3 linked regions of the Lonchura striata genome follow. Each later gene encodes a partner of the first gene's protein in a complex. Links are inferred from orthologs where the notes say so. Each region holds a gene or a part of one and is shown in the gene's direction. Other genes may lie near its edges.

Evidence for each region.
Region 2: the proteins of TOMM5 (region 1) and VDAC2 are in contact, whole or in part, in a cryo-EM structure (PDB 9EII), measured with the Homo sapiens proteins. The link is inferred for Lonchura striata from reciprocal best matches to the Homo sapiens genes TOMM5 and VDAC2. Residues at the interface, in NP_001001790.1 of Homo sapiens: Ile25, Arg29, Leu32, Ile33, Ala36, Arg39, Val40, Phe43, Ile44, Lys47; in NP_001171752.1 of Homo sapiens: Val38, Thr60, Gly63, Asp239, Tyr258, Gln260, Thr261, Leu262, Leu268, Leu270, Val286, Leu288.
Region 3: the proteins of TOMM5 (region 1) and PINK1 are in contact, whole or in part, in a cryo-EM structure (PDB 9EII), measured with the Homo sapiens proteins. The link is inferred for Lonchura striata from reciprocal best matches to the Homo sapiens genes TOMM5 and PINK1. Residues at the interface, in NP_001001790.1 of Homo sapiens: Met1, Phe2, Arg3, Ile4, Gly6, Leu7, Ala8, Lys10, Leu11, Asp12, Pro13, Glu14, Met16, Lys17, Arg18; in NP_115785.1 of Homo sapiens: Gln484, Ala488, Gln491, Ser495, Lys496, Pro498, Val502, Lys520, Leu522, Lys523, Leu524, Met527, Glu565, Cys568, Gln569, Ala571, Leu572, Leu573, Cys575, Ser576, Trp577, Ala579, Ala580.

The regions. Positions count from the first base shown.
Region 1 is NC_134642.1:86,219,171-86,224,854, reverse strand, and holds TOMM5 (mitochondrial import receptor subunit TOM5 homolog), read left to right. Parts: upstream 1-3,864; 5' UTR 3,865-3,918; coding exon 3,919-4,039; intron 4,040-4,721; coding exon 4,722-4,756; 3' UTR 4,757-5,025; downstream 5,026-5,684.
Region 2 is NC_134609.1:11,428,470-11,436,035, reverse strand, and holds the start of VDAC2 (non-selective voltage-gated ion channel VDAC2), read left to right. Parts: upstream 1-4,544; 5' UTR 4,545-4,709; intron 4,710-7,566. UniProt on the Homo sapiens protein: Non-selective voltage-gated ion channel that mediates the transport of anions and cations through the mitochondrion outer membrane and plasma membrane.
Region 3 is NC_134626.1:7,640,616-7,648,504, forward strand, and holds the start of PINK1 (serine/threonine-protein kinase PINK1, mitochondrial), read left to right. Parts: upstream 1-4,728; coding exon 4,729-4,775; intron 4,776-4,886; coding exon 4,887-5,058; intron 5,059-7,561; coding exon 7,562-7,840; intron 7,841-7,889. UniProt on the Homo sapiens protein: Serine/threonine-protein kinase which acts as a sensor of mitochondrial damage and protects against mitochondrial dysfunction during cellular stress.

The DNA.
Region 1 (5,684 bases):
CCCCAAATAGGGTGGGGGGGAAAGGGCCAAGGGGGTTTGTTTTCTGGGGGCTCCTTCCAGAGGTTTTTCTCCCAGATTTGCCCTAAACAGGACATGTGCCCAGCAGAGACTGTCCTGTGCCCGACACTGTCCCAGGAGGTGCCTCTGGGCTGGCAGGAGCCCCTGTGCCCCGGTGAGACGGGTCTGGAGCTCAGCCCTGGGGCCGTGGGGCCCCCGGAGCTGCCGGGGACGAGCGGAGCCCCGGCAGGCACACAGAGCCAGCTCTGGGTGGGCACAGAGCCGTGCTGCTGTCAGGCTCGGCCAGGATGGAGTCCTCGGGAGCTCCAGCATCACCTGCCTCGCCTCCCCGTGCTCCGCTGCCAGGCTGCCCAGGCCCTCTGCAAAGCCTCTGCTCTGCATCCCTGACACACCTCGGGTCCAGTCTGGTGAGTGCAGGTCCCTGGTGCTCCTCTGTTTTATCTATTCCAGCCTGGCCCTATAGTCTGTCATAGACAAACACCCTACCCTTGACAGCTCAGCCACCTCAGGTGGCTCCTATGACAATGCTGGAAACCGAAAGTTTTAATAAAAGGCAAAATAAAAAAGCTCTTTACAGAGAACAACCAAGCCAGGGCAAGAGGTTCTTGCTCCTGCTAAAACACTGCACAAAAGCAATTAACTTATTTTGTTCTCTTCTTTCCTAGGGAATTGCTTAGGCAGGACTTTTTGTGTCCTGTCCAATTGGCTATCCTTAAGTTTGAGGTGAAGTCCCCAAGGTCCTTTGAGGTGTCTTTTAACCACATTGAGGAGAGAAACTTCTGGGCTTTTGTCCTTTTTAAGGGGACAAAGGGTAACTTGTTTAGGCCTCAACAGGGGCACAGTCCCTCCACATCTGGCCAGTGGATGCAGTTAACAGTGCCAGGGCCAGGCTAACAGTGCCTGTTCCAGGAGCAGGGCAGGCTGTCCTTCCACATGAGCCATCCTGAGCCATCCCCACTGTGCAGGAGAGGAGAAACACCACCAGACAGTGCCTGACGGCCACTCCACAGGAGGTTTTTATCCATCAGGCCACCATGGGGAGCTCCTTGCTCCTAGAAACCCGACTGAGGTCTCAAAAGGAATTATCAGGGCAGTTTTAATTTCTGTGGGCTGTTTCTCTCCAGCCCTCTGCACCAGCAGCGTGTTACCATAGCTCCAGAACGTCATGGGAGCAATGGGGAGAGAAGCCTGAATTTCAGCTGAGTGTCTGGGCTTGGCCAGTGTGAAAAATGCCAATCACTTGGTTTATAAAATTTTAAAAGTTTAATAATAATAAAATGCTTATAAAAATAGTAATACAATTGCATGAATAAAATTTAGAGTTAGGACAATCACAAGACAATAAAAAGCAAAGAATTATGGACATCTGGATGCTCTTGGACACTAAGTTATGATAAGTATACTTTGTGAACAAAGGAATAACTTTAAAACCAAAAGCCTGTTGCATATTCATATATTCTTCATGGTTGTGTATATATTTTATTTAAAACAAGAACTCTGTCTGTTGTATGTTAACTATTTCTTTTATTCCCCATGGCATCAGTGAGTCTGAGAAAGGCCTGAGGAAATTAGCTTCTTCCTTTCACATAGCAGAGTTTCTATTTTAACATTGTGCTGGAACCTGAAACTGTATTTAACACTCTACTTAAGAGAATTAATACAGCATAACTTTCTAACATTACACACATAATACTCATTGTAACATTTGCGAAAAGCCAGTCATAAAACATGCATTTTTCTCAGCCAGCTTCCCAGGCAGCTCTGCCCAGCCATGCCCTCTCTTCTGCATCCCACCCAGCATCAGCCCGGCCACTGCACCTGCAGCCTGCATCCCTGGGCTCGTGGGGCTGGTTTCCACCCAGATCCCACAGATTTCCAGGAAGATTACCCACAGCAATGGTGTGAGAAATGCATATTTTATGATTGGCTTTTCACAAATATTAAATGGAATATTATATGTATTGTGTTATATTGATTTGAAGTGCTGTATTAACATTTTAATAGTATGGTAAATGTAGTTTTGTAGTTAAAATAGAAACTATGTATGTGGGGTTTTTTTTAAACAAATGAGATACTCACTTTGAGATAACAGTCACAGAACCCCTAAATCTTCCAGAGAAGAGAAATTGATGGTTTTCTTATCAGAAGAAGCTCATTTCTCCAGACCTTGCTCAGACTCGAAGACACCATGGGGATTGAAAGAGTTGGCATACTCCAGAGAGAGTGTCTTGTTTTAAATAGAATCTATGCATAATGTCATATATATACCATAAAGTATGTATGAATATGCAACAGTGTATGGTTTTTAAGGGTGATTCCTTTGTTCACAAAACATGCTTGTCGGGGCTTACGTGCCCGAGAGCATGCGGACATCTGTAATTCTTTGTTCTTTATTGTCTAGTAATTGTCCTCGGGGTCTTGCCAACTGACCCCAACACCTGAGGGGTGAGCAGATCCCACGGGACGCCGGGCTCTGAGGTGCTGAATCTCCTTTCCTGAGCCCGGAGAGCCCGAAGCTCCCAGGGCAGGGGGTCTGGAGGAGCTGACACCCTCTGCCCGCGGTGCAGAACCGGCCGTGCCCGTGGAGGGCTCGCGACATGCGGCGGACTGGGCTGAGGCTGTCCCTGTCCCTGTCCCTGTCCCTGTCCCTGTCCCTGTCCCTGTCCCTGTCCCCTGTCCCTGGCCCTGGCCCTGGCCCTGGCCCTGTCCCTGGCCCTGGCCCTGGCCCTGGCCCTGGCCCTGTCCCCTGGCCCCGGCCCTGGCCCTGTCCCTTCTCCCTGTCCCTGTTTCTTATCGCCGGCGGGGGACTGTACAAACCAGGAACGGACGGGACTGCTGAGGAACGTGTCCCCAGCTGTTCATTTTCCAGCATCACTCTCATTCCATGGTTATGACAATGGGAAGGTGCCAGCAGCTCACATCCCAGCAGCAGAACAAGAACTTAATGTTACATCTTACTTTAAAAGCTTTTTGACCAGTCACACAAAGCAAAAGCACACTGGCACTAGTTCTATCCAAGCTCTTATAAGCACACATACCTTTGGTTAAAGCAATGCTCGCTTATTTCCAATACAATACCTGCTTGTAAGCCTTAAGATACAATGCACAGAGCTCCATTATTAAGCTTAGACCTTCCTAATATCTCACCAGAGATACTTTTCTGCACCTTAGGGAGTTATTCTACCCCAGTGTTAACACACAGACCATTGCTCTATTTGTCCTTTCTACTTCTTGTATAATTTTTCTGCTGACAAATCTCATGGCTACTGCTGAGCTCTCATCACCATCCTGCTGTCTCGGAGGCCTTTTGCAGCGTGCCCAAACCCCTCTGATTGTAAGGAATCTTTCTCTGTTCGCTCTCCCTGTGCCGCTCCGTGTCCCTGTGGCTGTCCCTGCCTGTGCTCGTTCTCTCTGTTCCGTGTCGCTGTCCCTCTCTCCGCCCTGTCCCGTGTCGCTCTCCCGTCACGCCCGCTCGGAAGTGACGCCGTCTCGCTCCCGCCTCCGCTCCGGTGCTGCCGCCGCGCGTGGCCGCAGCGGCGCCGGGGCCGGGTCGGGGTCGGGCCGCGTTCCGCGTTCCGCGCTCCGCGCTCCGGGCTCCGGGCTCCGCACTCCGCGTTCCGCGCTCCGCGTTCCGCGCTCCGCGTTCCGGGCTCCGGGCTCCGCGTTCCGCGCTCCGCGTTCCGCGCTCCGCGTTCCGCGCTCCGCGTTCCGGGCTCCGGGCTCCGCGTTCCGCGCTCCGCGTTCCGCGTTCCGCGCTCCGGGCTCCGCGCTCCGGGCTCCGCGCTCCGGGCTCCGCGCTCCGCGTTCCCAGCTCCGCGTTCCCAGCTCCGCGTTCCGCGTTCCGGGCTCCGCGTTCCCAGCTCCGGGCTCCGCGCTCCGCGCTCCGCGCTCCGCTCCAGGATGTTCCGCATCGAGGGGCTGGGGCCCAAGATGGACCCGGAGGAGCTCCGCCGCAAGATGCGCCGCGACGTGCTCGCCTCCGTGCGCAACTTCCTCATCTACGTGGCCCTGCTGCGGATCAGTGAGTGACCCGGCTCCCGGGCCGTGCCGGGCCCGGTACGGGGATGTCCCGGCCCCGGGGATGTCCCGGCCCCGCCGTGCCCCGGCCCCGGGGATGTCCCGGTCCCGCCGTGCCCCGGTCCCGGGGATGTCCCGGCCCCGCCGTGCCCCGGCCCCGGGGATGCCCCGGCCCCGGGGATGTCCCGGCCCCGGGGATGCCCCGGCCCCGCCGTGCCCCGGCCCCGCCGTGCCCCGGCCCCGGGGATGTCCCGGTCCCGCCGTGCCCCGGTCCCGCCGTGCCCCGGCCCCGGGGATGTCCCGGCCCCGGGGATGTCCCGGCCCCGGGGATGCCCCGGCCCCGGGGATGTCCCGGCCCCGCCGTGCCCCGGCCCCGGGGATGTCCCGGCCCCGGGGATGTCCCGGCCCCGCCGTGCCCCGGCCCCGGGGATGTCCCGGCCCCGCCGTGCCCCGGCCCCGGGGATGTCCCGGCCCCGGGGATGTCCCGGCCCCGGGGATGTCCCGGCCCCGCCGTGCCCCGGCCCCGGGGATGCCCCGGCCCCGCCGTGCCCCGGCCCCGGGGATGTCCCGGCCCCGCCGTGCCCCGGTCCCGCCGTGCCCCGGCGCCGTGCCGGTCCGGGGCGCTGCCCAACCCGCAGCAGTCCGGCCGCGGCCCGGGCTCGACTCCGCGCTGTTTCCTCCCGCAGCTCCCTTCATCCTGAAGAAGCTGGACAGTATATGACCCCTCGGGCCCGGCGGGATGAGTGGCAGCTGCTGTCCCGCGGGGCTGGCCGCCCGGCACGGCTCGGCACGGCTCGGCACGGCCCCCGCGGCCGTGGGGCAGAGCATTCCGTGCTGCGTGAGCAGAGCCCCCGTCCATCCCGCACACGCTGCGGCTCGCCGGCCCGCCCGCGTGCGCCGGTCTGCCCTTCATCCAGCTCACCTGCAGCGTGAAATAAGCGGGAAATAAATGGAAATATAACAACGGAAATAAACGGGAGAGCAGCTGTGCCTGCTCGCTGTTTATTTGTGACAGTCATGGGTGGGATGGGGCTGGCTGGGATTGCTCCCTGGCTGCTGCTGTGGCTCTCCGAGCCTCCTGGAGGGGCGGCAGGCAGGTGGGATGTGCAGACACGCGGTGGGCACGGCTGGGAGGGCAGGAGCCAGGGCAGGGCAGGGCAGGGCGCTGCCCCCAGCCGGCTGTGCCAGCTCTGCTGGCCCGGGACCCGCCAGGACCTCTCCTTGGCTCCCGGGATGGGGGCTCATCCCCCGGGCAGGGGTCCTGGAAGTGCAGCTCAGGTTTGGGAACTGGGTGTTTTGTTGGGAGCAGAGCCACATCCCTTGGAGACTCCCTGCCTGCGGCCTCGGGTGCCTGCTGCATCCAGGGAAATCACCCATCTGCATTCCCCTGGGAAATGAAATCCAGGGCGTTCCTGAGCTCAGGTGACGTGGTGGCTGCAGGGAGGAAGAGGCTTTTCCCCTCCTGTCTCAGAAGGCATTTTCCTTCTGCCCTGGCCCAGGGGTGTCCCCGCCAGGTCCTGTGCTGGGGACAGTCCCGACAGCAGGGCCAGGGCTCAGGCTCTGGGTGTGGTGGACGTGGTGTGTTACACGCTGACGTGGGGGAAGGATGTAAAACAGCACACAGCTGGCCCCGGGCCCAGCACAAGCCC
Region 2 (7,566 bases), on another chromosome or scaffold:
ATCTCTGGGAACAGAGATCTTATTTTCTTCTTCTATTCCTAGGGCAAGGCTTCTCATTTCTTTCTGGTCAAACTCTTCATTGGATCAGAGCTACTGCAACATCTGCTTATTCCAACACTGATGGTTCTGCTCAGGGCTGTAGGTAGAACACTACATCTGCCCAATGCATTCCATGAATTATAGGAAAAAACTAGTTTGTTGTATCAAATATACCTTCACCATAGTCTTGCAAAAATAATTTTAGCCCACGACTAAGGCATCTAGTCAATCCCCTCCCTGCTAGAATTTGACTCCTTTACTTGACTTAGTGTCCCATGTTATTTTCTCGACGTGTATATTGTCTCTACGTATTTTCTCTACCCTTTCCTTTTCCTGACTCAGGGGAGAATTAGTGTTCGTAGGTTCATTTGCTCTTGGGCTTTATAAACTACAACAGTATAGAGTCCTGCAACATTTCAAGGCTGAATCTGTGCAGGCTCCGCCGCCGAGGAATCGCTGTGACTGTCGCTGCTGATCATGTGGCTCCCGCCAGCAGCGCAACCCGCGCAGGCTGCCGGCACCACCCCCGCGCCTTTCTTTCATGCGGGACACTGCAAGAAAGAAAAACGCTGCTGCCACTGCTTTTGTCCTTCTGTCCGCAGCAGAGCCGGTTAAAGCGGCTAAGCAAAGTCCCCTGCGAGTCACGCCGGGACAGCTGTGGCCGCACGGCACCGCTGCAGTTGTGTCCATTCGGACACGCACTCCTGGCCACGTCCGGGATGGCGCTGGCCACTCCTGGCCCCGGGGCCACCCTCAGCGCCGACCACAGGGCCACTCCCGGCGCTAGTGCTGAGTAAACCAAGTTCACTCGTGTGCCATGCCGAAATAGCCGAATAGCGTGGCCCCGGCTGCACGGCGCTGCCAGGGCTGCACGGATCCCGACCGAGCAGTCCCGGCCACAGGGCCACTCCCGGCCGTGTGGTTGCCTACGGCGCTGGGACAGTTCCGGTGGCACGGCCCGGCAGTAGCAGAAATCGCAGCGGAGCTGCGCGCCGAGCCGGCCACGTGGGCCCGGCCTAGTCCGGCCTCGCCGAGAGCCGGAAGCCAAAAGCCGCGCCCGGCCTTCGTTCGTGCTTCCAGCGTGCTCGGCACTGAGGCACGGCCAGCGCCTCACAGCCGGGCAGCTGATCGATTGGCTCCCCAAAGCGAGGCCGCTGATTGGCGCCTCAAAGCGAGGCCGCTGATTGGCGCCTCAAAGCGAGGCCGCTGATTGGCGCCTCAAAGCGAGGCCGCTGATTGGCGCCTCAAAGCGAGGCCGCTGATTGGCTCGGCCCGCACGGGACCCGCCCCGCAGCCTGCGGCCGGCCCTAACTGCAAGGCAGATTTCGTTAAACCAAGGCATTGCCTCAGCCCTAAAGTCACTTCTTGGTATCAACTGTGTGCCTCTGACCTAAGGTATTCTCTGTGTCAGATTATTTGAATGTGTTAGCTCCATTTGGGCCTGTTTAAAGCGTGTTTTAGAATCTGGTTTAAGTTAAACTTCTTCCTAGTAATTTAAGCTAAAATGAAAGAAGGTTACTTGAAGCTTCTTAGGAAAAAAATGGAAAGGCATTAAGTGTGTCAGTCTAAAGGATCCTGGCAGTGTAGGCCTCTGCTGATTGCCCTCTTAGGGCTTTCCAGAGGCCTAGTTTGCACATAAGAACAGTTGTAGGGTATCAGACAAAAGGTGTAGACAATCTAATATCCCTGCCTCTGGGATGATGAAGTGAGCAATTATTTAGGCAGCACACACCTATAATAACAATCCAAGAACAGGATAAACTTAAATGATACTTCCATTTGCAACTCGGGCATTTTCTGACTCCAAACAGGCTATATAGCAATATGTAATTCTTGAATGGATTTGTAATTAGTAATCCTTGCTGGATTTCTCTTCCACAAGCCTGTCTAGTTTCCCTGGAGCCCATATAAACATTTAGCTTCTGGTGTCAGGTAATTCCACTGGATTGCACTCTTTCATAGAAAAACTCTTGGCTTTGTTTATTCTGAATTTGTTTCTTGGTAGCTTCAACTATTTTCCACCCTTTCCCTGCTGGTTACACTTTCAGCATCTCTGCTATATGCCCTAAATCAGCTTGTTTCAGGATGCAACTGCTAGATCATTTGTAAGGCTTCTCCAGGGAATCATCAGCTGAACATCTGCATCTGGAGGGAAGATAAAGCAATGACTTCAGGCTCATGTCAGAAGTGAACGTAAGTTATCTGAACTGCATGGTGGACACTGGTACGTACTGTAGACACTTGCTCTCTTTTTGTTGCTCACATACGTTCTAAATTGTGGAGAGAGAAGCAGAGTTTTTGTTCAAATGACATTAAACTTACAGTGACCTGTGGGTTTTCTCCAAATGGTAGCAGTAAAACACGTGACTCTGATGTCAGTTATACGTAAATACGGCTGTGTTCGTACAAAATGGTAACAGTTCAACTGCAACTGGCCCCAAAACTGGAGAGCTGCTGAATTTCAGTAGAAAACCAGCCCATTCAGAGGAAGTGCACCTACATAGGAGGTGTGTGCACTAAGTGGTATGAAGAAATTGCTGAGAAGAAAGGTGCAGAGTAATTCAGAAGGCTTGCTATTGCAGGCCTGAAGCTGTGCCTTTTTGGGGCTCTGAGCTCGAGTAGATCTGCTAAGGCATGAGGCAATAAGGCATGGTTGTACAAGGCAGGGGCAGTGCAAGAGTGAGTAAAAAACACTGGCAGGCAAAGGCTGTTGCAACAGAGCCTGTAATGCAGAGGAGTTTGCTGTTGTGTCTCAGATTATTGCTTCTGCCTTGTCTCACAAAGCAAGTGATTCATTGCTTTTTTTGCTCAGGGCAGGGCAGTAATTACTTTCCTAGATTGCTAAAAATAAAGCCAAACCATTACTAAAATATTAATCTTTAAAGGGAAAAAAAAGGCAGAATGCTGATGTCTCCTATAAGCAACTGGACTTCTATTCAGAATGGATTTATTTATAGGACTGGTATGAATAATAAATGCATGTCTTTAAATAATGAGCAACTTATTCCACAATCTATTTTTACTTATTTTTACTTAATCAGATCTCTAGTTATTTTGAATGTATGTTTCCATGTACAGTAAGACACACTGGGTTTCTTTTCCTGCTGTTATTTATTTTCTCAGTATGTGGCTTTCCTTCTTGATTCATCAACACATATTTATCTCTGCAATGCCAAACTGTCTTACTTAAAACCGTCAGAATGAAACATCTCTTGGGTCTTTTGATGTGAAAGCATTGGACTTACACACACACACACACACACACACACACACACACACACAAAATCTGTTGCTTATCTTTTGCTATAACAAACAGGTGCAGACTGGCGTTATGTTGGGCCTTTCTACTAACCTGCTCTCTTAATATACTGGAAAATTACTGTTGTGCCATGTGTTCTGGAAAATGAATTGTGATATTATGTATTCTCTGTATCACACAAATATATTGTGTATTTGTAAACGAATTTTGCTTTCTTGAAGAAGTTGAGATCATGTCATAACCCAGGCAAGGAGAGAAGAATATGAGTTTTAGAAACGGTTATTGTGCAGTTCCTTGGCCTTGCAATGGTCTGCATTGGTGAATCGGCGATTCCTCCTGCTGCACAGTAGTCGTGTGACTGTTCTCCAGCTATGATTTCTGGTCAGACAGCACTGTCTGGGAAACGTATCTGAGGGTCACTGCTTCTCTCGGCCTGAGACACACTGTGCTTTTATGGGGAAGGTGTCTGTGGGTGGTGATTGGAAGAGGTAAAAACGGAGCTTAGGCAATTTGAAAGTCTGCGGCAACTTGTCGGCAGGAGGCTCGACACCTTGTTCGATGGGCTACAGCTGCCGGAGCGGCAATGGGACGGCCGTGCTGCGGGTGGCCCTGTGTGTCCGTGGCACAGAGCTTGTGAGGGGGGATGTGTTCAGTGCAGTGGGGCAAGGGCGAGCAGCCAGCGGAGCGATATGGGCACTGCAGCATCGCCCACGCTCGGCGGGCGCCGTTCCCCGGAGAAGGGAAGGGCTCCTGGGGGCTGTGAGGAGCAAGGCCCGCCATCTGCACAAAGGCCGCGGCTGAAGGGCGTCTCCCGTCCGTGTGCCAGCGCGGGAGGGGCTGGGCCCCGAGAGGGCGGCCGGTGCTTTCCCCGGCAGGGCAGCGGCGCCGGGATGCTGCGGCAGGCGCAGGCGAGGGCCGCCCGTCCCCGGAGGGACGAGCGCTGCCGCGCAGCCCCGGGCGGCTCCCGGGCGCGGCTCTCCCGGCCGCTCTGCGGCTCCTCCGCGCCCGCGGGCGGCCCCGCCCCTGCGCGCGCCCCGCGCAGCGGCCCCGCCCTCCCGCAGGCCCCCGCCGCCGTCGGGGCTGCCCGCCCGAGCGCCTGCCCGGCCGCGCCGCCGCCGTCCGGCTTGTGGCTCGGGGCTGCGGCACCTCCCGCCGCTGCCGAGCTCCGGGCCGCGGCCGCCGGCGCCTCCCGCGGGGCGGGGGTGGTGTGGCGCTGCGGGCGGGGCAGGCGGCGGGATGGGCGGCCCCGGCGCGCCGGGGTCCTGCGCGGCGGCGGCGGCGGGCGGGCGGATCAGTGTCTCCTTCAGTTCGCCCTCCACTGCCCGCGGCTGCAGCAGCGCGGCCTGCCGGACCACTCTGCCCGCCCCTGACCGGCCTCAGCCCTGCTCCGCCGACGACCCGCAACACGCAGGTGCCGGCCCCGGCCGCCACGGGCCTGGCGGAGCATGCGGGGGGGGGCGGGCGGGGCTCGCCCGGTGGCGAGCGGCTCTGAGGCCTCGTGGGCCGGGGGTGGCCGGGCCGCGGGCTCGTCCCGGCGCTGCCGGGTTCGCGGGGCGGGCGGCGGCCTCTCCGCGGCCGCTGTCCCCGCGGTGCCGCGGCCGGGCTCGGCTGCGCGAGGCTCGGCGGGCGGAGGTCAGGCCGGGATGCCCAAGATGGCCGCGCCGAGCGGGTCGGTTCACCTTGCGGCGGGGCGGGCGGCGCGCCCGGCCTGGGGCCGCCGCTCGGCCCGGCCCGGCCCGGCCCTGCCCGCGCTGCGGCCGCATCCCCGCTCGCCCTTCCCTCCGGGAGGCGCTACTTTACTGCCCCCGCCTCGCTTCCTGAGCCCGTAAGCTATTTCCAGATCCTGTCCTTAAAGTTTCTACCTTGGCCTGGCCCACATTAGGCTTCCGTGTCCACCTCCGGTTTGTGTGTAGGGAGAGCGTTAATGCAAGGGTAAGGAGGTGGCTTTTTTAAGCATCTGTAGTATCAGTGTAAGCCTGAAGGTCACCGTGTGTCCGATGTATTTTAACAAATTAATTTTTGAATAATCTCAGTTCTTTTGTTGCTATTTGTTGTGACACTGGGATAATTTCGGCGTAGTTTGTTGACTTTTAAATTGGTGAGTACCCTTTTTTCAATCTATTATCGGCTGATAGGGTTTGTAGTTTGATCTTGAATATCTTGAGATCTTGGGATTGTTAGAAATCCTAATAGAGGTCTGTGTCATTTTTTAATTGTAGAGCTTGAGAGTTTTGAAATACTACTTCCAAGGAGAACTGTGATGTAGTAATTTCAATAATACTAATACATTTTTCTGTTCTTTGGGTGATTTTCTTTTTATCGCAGAAGAAAGCGTGATTGTGGCTCCCGAGTGACAGATTAATTAAACTTCATCACGGTGGCATGAAACAAAGATTAGGGTGGAGCTCTCACTTGGCTCAAGTATATTCTGTACTTCAAGTCGATTATTTTACAGTTTTTACAACAAATCTCTAGTTGCTAAATGACGCTTGTTGTTTAGTGATTTGTAATTAGTAGTTTTTAAGTGAAAGGTGCTTCAAAATAGGGTTGAAAAAATTACTTGTGACTATGAGTTTGCAAGCCTATCTAACATTAAAGGACACAGGTCTGATTTTTTAATGGCCCTTTTTTCATTTAATGAGAGTTCTAATGGTGACATTGGTTTATCAGACATTTAGTATGTACAAAATTAACTCTTGCTTTCCTGTTTTGTCCTCATCCATCCCTGTCAGTGTTACAGTATAGTATTAGAACAGCAGTGTGACAGTTGTACTCTATTTCAACGTTTTATTACAAAACTTTTATCTGTAGACTGGAATGTCTGACAAATACTGGCTGGTTTCCCTGCAGGGGTAAGGATGCTTAACTAGGCCAGATAAAATGATAACATCCTTTTTACTGTAATAATCCTCTGAATTTTGACAGTTTGTTAACTTCTCAATACACTTCTGCTTAGCATAAATCTCTTGTCTGTACTGTTTGTCTAGTGCATTTGGAAACATTGAAAGCAAAAGGGAAAAGCTTGTTTATTTATACTGTAAAAGCATGTCTGTGGTAAAGGCTAATATAAAACTCCAAAACTAGAATTAATTATTTTTATGGCAATGCTAGTTAGAGGTGAGATCTGTTCATTAGAGGAAACGTGTAGCTGAACCTTGTCTATAATATGCTAAGGTGCTGAATTGTACAGGTGCTGTACAGGAGGACTGCAGGCAAGAGTTCTTGCACTCCCTTGTAATTGGTCTGTCAGCTGTTTTTTTTTATGGAAAACATAATAGGAGCCATTTAATGACTTGTCACTGGGATTAGGTTCTGTTCTTCTATAAACTTTAATTTGGGTTTGGCTTCTTTAAAGTTCAGATACTTTAGGCCATTTTCATGTCTCTTTTTAAAAAAAATAATGTTTAGTTTAACTCCATGGAAAACCAGACTTATTTTTGAACAAGTGATAGATGTCTTGATATAGTGACTGGCTCTAGAGTTTAGACATCTTTGCTAAACACGTTTTTCTGAATTTGTGTGTATGTGTGTGAAACTGATTGTAAATACTGTTTCTCAGAGGAGGTTGAAATTATCCCCTTAGGGCAATAGGGAGCTGAAGTAGGGTACTCTGGAAATCTGCATTATGAAATGTAGAAAAATAACGAAGAGTCTTCTGCCTCCCCCATTGATTACTAAATAGTTTGTGGTTTTTTTTTTTTTTTAATTAATAGCAGTTCATACAATTTGGCTGTATATGGCAGGTGTAATTAGAGTTTGGAAGTTAAGATGTGAGAACACTGCCATTGTTATTTTTCAAGTTCTAAAGATAGTTTTTTCATTTACTTAAAGAGAAAAATCACACAAAAGGAAGATAAGAAGTCAGTTATGTTATTCTGAGTCTCTCAGCTAAACAAATGTGACCAATCAGTTTGAGAAGATAAGATTTTTTGTTCTCATGTGTTTTGCCTTTTCATGGCCTTATCTAGTTTCATTTTGCCCCTTTTCACAGTCGAGGGGGAGTTACTAATATGCTCTGTTTCCTATATTTCACAACTTTAAAATTGCAGGCCTCTGTGACAGCAGCCTCTTGCTGTTGAAATCATGGGAAAACAGTCTTTCAAGGAAGTACAGATAAGAGTGTGTGCTCCCAGGGAGGAGAGTGATAGGGGCCTGGTGAGACCTTAGCCTGGAGTTTGTCCATAGGGCCAGAGGGCTGGGCCATGGCCCATCGGCAGTGGCAGGTTCTTTAACAGCAGGGTGGCCGGAGGCTCTGTCTGAGAAAGGCA
Region 3 (7,889 bases), on another chromosome or scaffold:
TGGAGCAGGAAGCTCCTTGGGCAAGGGGAAAAATAGAGAAATTAATCTTTAATTAAAAAACAATTTGATGATCACCCGGGAGCCCTTTCCTTGTGTGGGCTGATTCCCCTGGAAGCACCGGCCAAACTGAATTTGGGCTCCAGCATGAGGGCATCTGAAATTGGGCTTTTGACCACTTGTGTCTTCAGCCAGTTTCCCCTGTTGACTGTAGTTAGAAGACCTGGGAAATATTATTTTTTATGATAAAAATATATTTCTGTATACTTTGTATGCTTTCAATAATTTAATTTATTTCTTTTGATCTCACTGATCAGGAGCTGTTGTTCCTTCCCCCAAGGAATGATTTAAGGACAATTTCCTGTGGAGCCACAAAACCAGTTTTGAACTGAGGAGGGGTGGGATGGCGGCGGAAAAAAGCTCTGCTGGGACAGAGAAAGGAGGAAGTAAATAACGAAAACAAGAGAAATTGGAAAGAATGAGGCAGCAGGCAGAGAGAGGATGTGGGAATCCCTGAAGACGGTGCTTTTGGGGCCAGGGCTGTCCCTGAGGATGCTTCCCGGAGTTCAGCTGCGTGCCGGGGCGTTATCCCGGCGTCCCGGCCAGCCTATTTTCCAGGCGAGGAAATATTTAACCGCGGCGTCAGCGGGCAGGGCAGGCGGCTGCAGGAATGGAGGGAGGCGGGCAGCACCCGATCCCTGCTGTCCCCCCCGGCCAGCCGCAGGGTGACCATCTCCAGCTCCTGCTGCGCCGCAGCCGGGAGGCCAAAAACTGCGCCTATTGCCCCTACAGCCAGTTCCCGGTGGGAGCTGCACTGCTCACCGCCGGCGGGGAGATCTTCTCGGGTAAGATGGGGATCTGAGCCCCCCGGGGATTTTGGGGAGCCCCCAGCAAGCCTTGGGTCATGTATGAGGGTGCAGCGGGGTCACCCCGGGGTGCTGGTGCTGTGTGTCCTTCCCCGCTGCCTCTTGGCAGCCGCCATCCCGGAGCGAGCCAAAGATCACAGCGGATGGGAAAATAAATAGGGGAAGCAGGGCAAATGGCTTTTCTTTGTCAATTCCCTGAGAAGAAAGGAGCTGGTGGGGTTTGAGGTGGCTGATGCCGGGGCTGTCCCTGCAGGGTGCAACGTGGAGAATGCCTGCTACAGCCTGGGGATGTGCGCCGAGCGTGCTGCCATCCAAAAAGCCATCTCCGAGGGGCACACCAGCTTCAAGGCCATGGCCATCGCCAGGTGAGAGCTGGAGCGGCGAGGGATGGGATGGGCAACCAGCAGCAGAACCCCTGCTGCTCCTCAGGGACAGCTTCTTTTGCAGCAGCCCCATCTTTTGGGGAGGCAAATAAAGTTTTTGCATGCTGTTTTTGGTGGAATTGGGGGGCAAATCTGTTGTGGCTCTGTATTTTTTGGGGCGTGAGGGTCTTCTGCAGGTGTTCTTCCCTCCTCTGACCTCAGGACTGAATGCTGTGCCCTTCTCCTTTGGCAGTGACATGGGGGACCACTTCATCACACCCTGTGGCGCCTGCAGACAAGTGATGAGAGAGGTGACAGCTCGTGTGGGGCTCCATGGCTCATTCCCTGATCCCAGACACCATTCCCTGACCCCAGGCATCTCCCCCTGAAACACCTGGAGGTACCAAGGAGGGTGCAACGCCCCATCCTCAGCCCCAGGGCTGGCTCCAGGCTCCTCAAATTTCATTACCTGCTGGCAGAGGGAGATTCCAGCCCTGGGTTGGGTGTTCATTAGCTTGCCTTCCAGGTGCAGAGTTTTGCCCTTGAGCCCTTGCTCTGGCAAGCATGAAAATGGGGGTTTTCCTGCAAAAGCTGAGTTTCCCAGAGATCCTATCCGGCTCTTGTATCCCTCCTCCACAGGAATCCCAGCACCCACTGCCCATTTTTGGGTTGTTAATATGTCAGATTCAGCAGGTTCAGAGGCACTGGGGCTCACGCTGGTGGGGTAAAAACACAGGATCTGAGCCCAGAATATCCTCTGGGGGAGGTAATGCTGCTAAGCCAACCCAAAATACATGCAATAGAGGGGGATGCTCCCTGTGAACCTGAATAAAAAGGAGTATATTATTAATTTGGGGAAGAAATGCAGGTTCTTCCCTCCTTCTTCCCCCTCATCAGGCTCTTCTTTCTCCTCCTCCAGTTTGGCACAGACTGGGATGTCTACCTGACCAAAGCAGATGGCACCTACATTGTCAAGAGGCTGGAGGAGCTGCTGCCACTCTCCTTTGGCCCTGAGGACCTGAAGAAGGTCTGAGCAGAGTGGCCATCACCAGCCTTTGCCCTTAGGTACAGGGAACAATGGTTTTCCCTGACTCTCTCAGCCTGTAAGCAATTTTTTGGGAACAACACAATGGAAAACGTGTTTATACTGTTAAGTTGCCTGTTCCTCTGGATCATCTTCTAATTCAGTGTTGATTCACAGACTCCAGCTCCACCTTGCCCCGAGGAAATGGCAAAATCAAATAATAGAAATTCCCTGTTACTAGTAAAAAAAGCATCCAGACATCCCTGTAGGCAAGGGAGGACATAGGTTTGATGCAGAACTCAAACAGGCTTTGGTACAGAAACCACTCCTGAATATGCAAAATAATTGCTTGGGAAAGTGCTGGATTCTTCAGCTCTAAAAAGAAGTGAAAGCAAGAAGGAAAAGGTCCATCAGCGCCAGAAGTGACCCAATCCAGATTAGGTGGATTGCTGGAACAGGATGGTTATTGCACTGACCATGTCCTTTGCTCCTTTCTCCCCAGCTTGTTTTACTTTTATTCTGTTTGGGGTGAAGAAGAGGGCAGGGAGTTTTTGGGGACTTCTGGAGAGTTTTATGTCTCCAGGGTAATGCCATTTGTTGATCATACATTGATGTATAATACAATGATAAATTAATTAATTACATTTCCCAACCAGCACTGGGCTGAGCATTTCTGCCATGCCCAAGTGAAATAAAAGCAGTTCTGGTTTATCTCCTGCAGTTGTAGCGAGTGATGGAAATAGGGAGTGGGGTCCCAGGGCTGTCCTGCAGCCCAGGCAGGGCTGGGGGTGCTGGATGTGCCCTGGGAACCTCATGAGGTTCAACAAAGCCGAGTGCAGGGTGCTGGTCAGGGCAGCCCCTCAGTACCTGCATTGGCTGGAGGATGGAGACCACTCCTGCTGGGAAGGACTTGGAGGTGCTGGTGGATGAGAGGCTGGATGTGCCTCAGCTGTGGGGCTGATGCCACAGCACGGGCAGCAGGGGAGGGAGGGATTCTGGCACAGGGTGCTCAGAGCAGCTGTGGCTGCCCCAACCCTGGAAACCAGGTTTGGATGGGGCTTGGAGCAAGCTGGGAGAGTGGAAGGTGTCTCTGCCCATGGCAGGGGTGGAACAAGGTGGGCTTTGAGGTCCCCTGCAGCCCAAACCAGCCTGTGATTCTGTCATTTGGTGATTCCACACACTGGGCTGTGCCTGGCTGTTCCCAGGGCACTGGCATGCTCCATGCCAAAGCACTCCTGGCTGTGGCATCCATGCCCTGCATTGCACAAGGCTTTACCTTGGCTGAACCCTGCTCTGTGCCCCGCTCCATGACCCATTCCGTGCCCTGCTTGATGCCCCACTCCATGTCCCCTGTTCATACTGCACTCCACACCTGCTCCATTGCTCTATGCCCCATTTCCCATCTCACTCCCATGCCCTGCACCCTGCCCGTCTCCATGCCCGTTTCCACACCCACTCCCTGCTCCACTCCATGCCCTGTTCCCTGTCCCCCTCCATGCCCACTCCCTGCCCCATCCATGCCCCATTCCCTGCCCCACTCCATGGCCTCTCCTCTGCCCATTCCTAGCCCCATTCCCTACCCCACTCCATGCCCGTTCCCTGTCCCACTCCATGCTCAATCCTAGCCCCATTCCCGGCCCCACTCCGAGCCCCTCTCCTTGCCCATTCCCTCCCTCTTCCCTGCCCCTCTTTCTCCCTATTCCCTCTTCATTCCCTGCCCCACTCCGAGCCCCTCTCCCTCCCCATTCCCTCCCCGTTCCCTGCCCCTCTCCCTCCCTATTCCCTGCCCATTCCCTGCTCCTCTCCCTCCCCGTTTCCTCCCGTCCCGGGGCCGCGGCTCCGCGTTCCCCGGGCGTGTTTCGGGGCCCCGCGCTCCCCGGTTCCCCGGTTGTGTTTCGGGGCCCCGCGTTCCCCGGGTGTTTCGGGGCCCCGCGCTCCCCGGCTCCCCGGGTGTTTCCGGCCCCGCGCTCCCCGGTTTCCCGGGTGTTTCGGGCCCCGCGCTCCCCGGCTCCCCGGGCGTGTTTCGGGGCCCCGCGTTCCCCGGTTTCCCGGGTGTTTCCGGCCCCGCGTTCCCCGGTTTCCCGGGTGTTTCCGGCCCCGCGTTCCCCGGTTTCCCGGGTGTTTCGGGGCCCCGCGTTCCCCGGTTTCCCGGGTGTTTCCGGCCCCGCGTTCCCCGGTTCCCCGGGTGTTTCGGGGCCCCGCGTTCCCGGTTTCCCGGGTGTTTCCGGCCCCGCGCTCCCCGGTTTCCCGGGTGTTTCGGGGCCCCGCGCTCCCCGGTTCCCCGGTCGTGTTTCCGGCCCCGCGCTCCCCGGTTCCCCGGTCGTGTTTCCGGCCCCGCGTTCCCCGGTTTCCCGGGTGTTTCCGGCCCCGCGTTCCCCGGGTGTTTCGGGCCCCGCGCTCCCCGGCTCCCCGGGCGTGTTTCGGGGCGCGGCCTGTCGGCGCGTCCCGCGGTGGCCCCGCCCCGGCCGAGGCCGTGGCCATGGCGGTGCGGCTGCTGCTGGCCCGGGCCCTGCGGCTGCTGCCGCGGTGCCGGCCGCCCTGCGCGCCCCGCGCCGCCCCGCGCCCCGGGCCCGGCCCCGCGCCCGCCGCGCCGTGGCGGCCCGGGCCGGGCTGGCTGGGCTGGCCGGGCTGGCCGGGCTGGCTGCCGGCCGCCCGCCGCCTCCTGCGCGGCCCGGCGGCCGGGCTGGCGGCCGCGGCGCGGCGGGGCCGCGGGGGCGGTGTGTGCCTGGCGCTGGCCGTGGCGCTGCGGCTGGTGGAGCCGCGCCTGGAGGAGCAGCGCCGGGCTGAGGCGGCGTGTCGCCAGATCCAGGTGGGGAGCGGCCGGGGGTCCCGCTGGGCAGCGCCTGCGGCGCTCTCCGTGAGGGAGGGGGGCTGGCTGGGAAGGAGGCCCGCAGGCACCTCCCAAGAAGGGCAGAGGAGGTCGTGGCCCTCCAGACATCCTTCGTGAAAGGGAGGGTGGTCCTTGGTGTGCGGAGCCCCTTGAACACCCCCGTGGACGCCTCGGAGTGTCAGTGCTGTGGGGAGACAGGCACCCTCCCAAAGAAGGGTAGGGGAGCCCTTGCTCTGGGGAGCCCCTGCACGCCCCCGCTGAGGGTAGCGGGGGTCATCCCTCTGGAGAAGCCCTTCGACATCATCCATAAAGGGGAGGGGGATTCTGCTGAGGAGCCCCTCAGATGCCCCCTTGCAATGGCAGGGGCATCACTGCTGTGGGGAGCCCCCTAGACACCCTTGGTGAAGGGGAGAGCCTTGTTTTATGGAGCCCCTCAGACATCCCTCATGAAGGGAAGGGGGATCGCTGCTGTGGGGAGCCCCCCGACAGCCCCTGTGAAGGGCACACTGGGGAGCCCCACAGACGCCTCCGCATCTCTCCCCAAGGAAGGCGGGGTGCTGCAGTGAGCAGCCCTCAGACACCTCCCCAAAGGAGGAGTGCTGGGAGCAGCCCCACAGGCGCCTCTTTCTCCCCAAAAACAGGGTCCTGGGGAAGTCCTTCACTCACCAGCCCTTCATTGCCCTAAAGCACAGTGATGCAGCCACCACTTTCAAAAGCAAGGGACCCTCACTCCCTGTCCCTCCAGAGGGAGGAGGTCAGGCCCCTGGTGATGGGGGTCTCATGTCCCAGGACACTGATGTTGATCCCTAGGGCCCCTGTGGTGCTGGGCCAGGCTGTGCTGGCAGGGCACAGGGGACATATGGTACTGAACTTATTTCCCGGGTAAAAATAGACCTCTGGTGCTCAGAGCCAGCTGTCACCTGCTCCACTGGCCAGCAGACGCGTTCCCTGAAGTTTCTCCTGAAGAGGATCCTTTCTCTCCTCTGTCCTTGCTGGGTTGTTCCATTTGCTGTCCCTGGTCTGTGTCTGATGACACATCCCTAGGGTGTCACCGGTGCCTTGGGGCTGCAGCTCACAGAGAAGGCCACTTGTCTGTATCTGTCCAGGTGACAGCTGGGGCAGCACCAGACCTGTAGGATCATGAACTGTGAGGAAACTCCAGAACAGCCTCCTGAGTGTTGTTTATCCACGTCTCTTGATTTCCTCCCCCAGCTCCCTCCCATCATAGATTCACTCTCCCTCAAACTAACCAGCCCTCACAGTCAACTGCCACACAAAGGCCATTGTTTCTCCTGTTGCTGCTTTTAATTGGATTTTCTTTTAAATGCTGTTTGCCTGATTTGTTTATGGAGAGGGAGAAAAGTGTAATAATGCATCTGTTTTCAGAAGTGTTCAGTTAAACTTAGCTTTACACAACCCCAGAATCATGGAATGGTTTGGGCCGGAAGGGACTTGAAGCCCCATCTCCTTCCACCCCTGCCATGGGCAGGGACACCTTCCACTATCCCAGGTTGCTCCAAGTCCTGACCATCCTGGCCTTGGACACTGCCAGGGATGGAGCAGCCATGGTTTCTCTGGGCAAAATATATTTATATTCTAAATTGGCAAATGACTCCCCCTCCTGGTTTCTCTTCTTCCCTCGAAAAGGGCACCTTTGGAAAAGACTGGTGTAGGGGTAAATTGTATCACACAAAAATATGTGGCTTGCAGATGATCTTTCATGTGGTTACAGTGATTTGAGCCCAATGGTTAGAGTCTGATTGACACTTTCAGGTTGGACCATCTCACCAGGACGTGTAATACCACTGAAACACCAAGTTCTCCTTCGCTGGTGTGAAAAACGCCAATCACTTGTTTTTTAAAATTTTAAGAGTTTAATAATAATAAAATGGTTATAAAAATAATAATACAATTAGAGTAATAAAGTTTAGAGTTAGGACAATTACAAGACATTAAAAAGCAAAGAATTATGGATGTCCGGATGCTCTCAGACACTAAGTCACGAAAAGCATGTGAACAAAGGAATCACCCTTAAACCAATACACTTGTTGCATATTCATATATCCTTCATGGTTATGCATACATTCTATTCTAAACAAGAAACTCTGTCTGTTGTATGTCAACTGTTACCTTTAATCCCCCGGCATCTTTGAGTCTGATCAAGGCCTGAAGAAATTAGCTTCTTCTGATAAGAAGCCATAAATTCCTCTCCTTTGGAAGATTTAGGTGTTCCTCGAAGCAAGTATCTCATTCCTAAAAAAAAAAACTTCCCCACATACATAGTCTCTATTTTAACATTATGTTGGAACCTAAAACTATATTTAACACACTACTAAAGAGAATTAATACAACGTAACTTTCTAACATTACACATATAATATTCATTGTATCATTTGCAAAAAGCCAATCATAAAATATGCATTTATCACAGCTGGGAAGTCTGGGATAACTGAGCTCGTTCTTCTGTTCATGTTCCTTTCAGACCGTGTTTGTTGGGAAGAACAAGCCGCAGAAAGATCCCCTGAGCTCCTTCCGCTGGCAGGGCTTCAAGCTGGAGGAGTACCTCATTGGCCAGCCCATCGGGAAGGGCTGCAGCGCCGCTGTGTACGAGGCAGCTATTCCCTTCTGTCCCACCCCTCGGGATCCAGCCCTGCAGCAGGACCGTGCCTCAGCCTCCCAGGGGGCTGAAGGGGAGCCTGTAGTGAAGCACCAGCCAAAAGGGGCTTTTCCCTTAGCTATCAAAATGATGTGGAACATTTCGGTAAGGAGTCAGTGCTGAATCCCCCCGTGTCTGTTGCTGGGGAATTCTG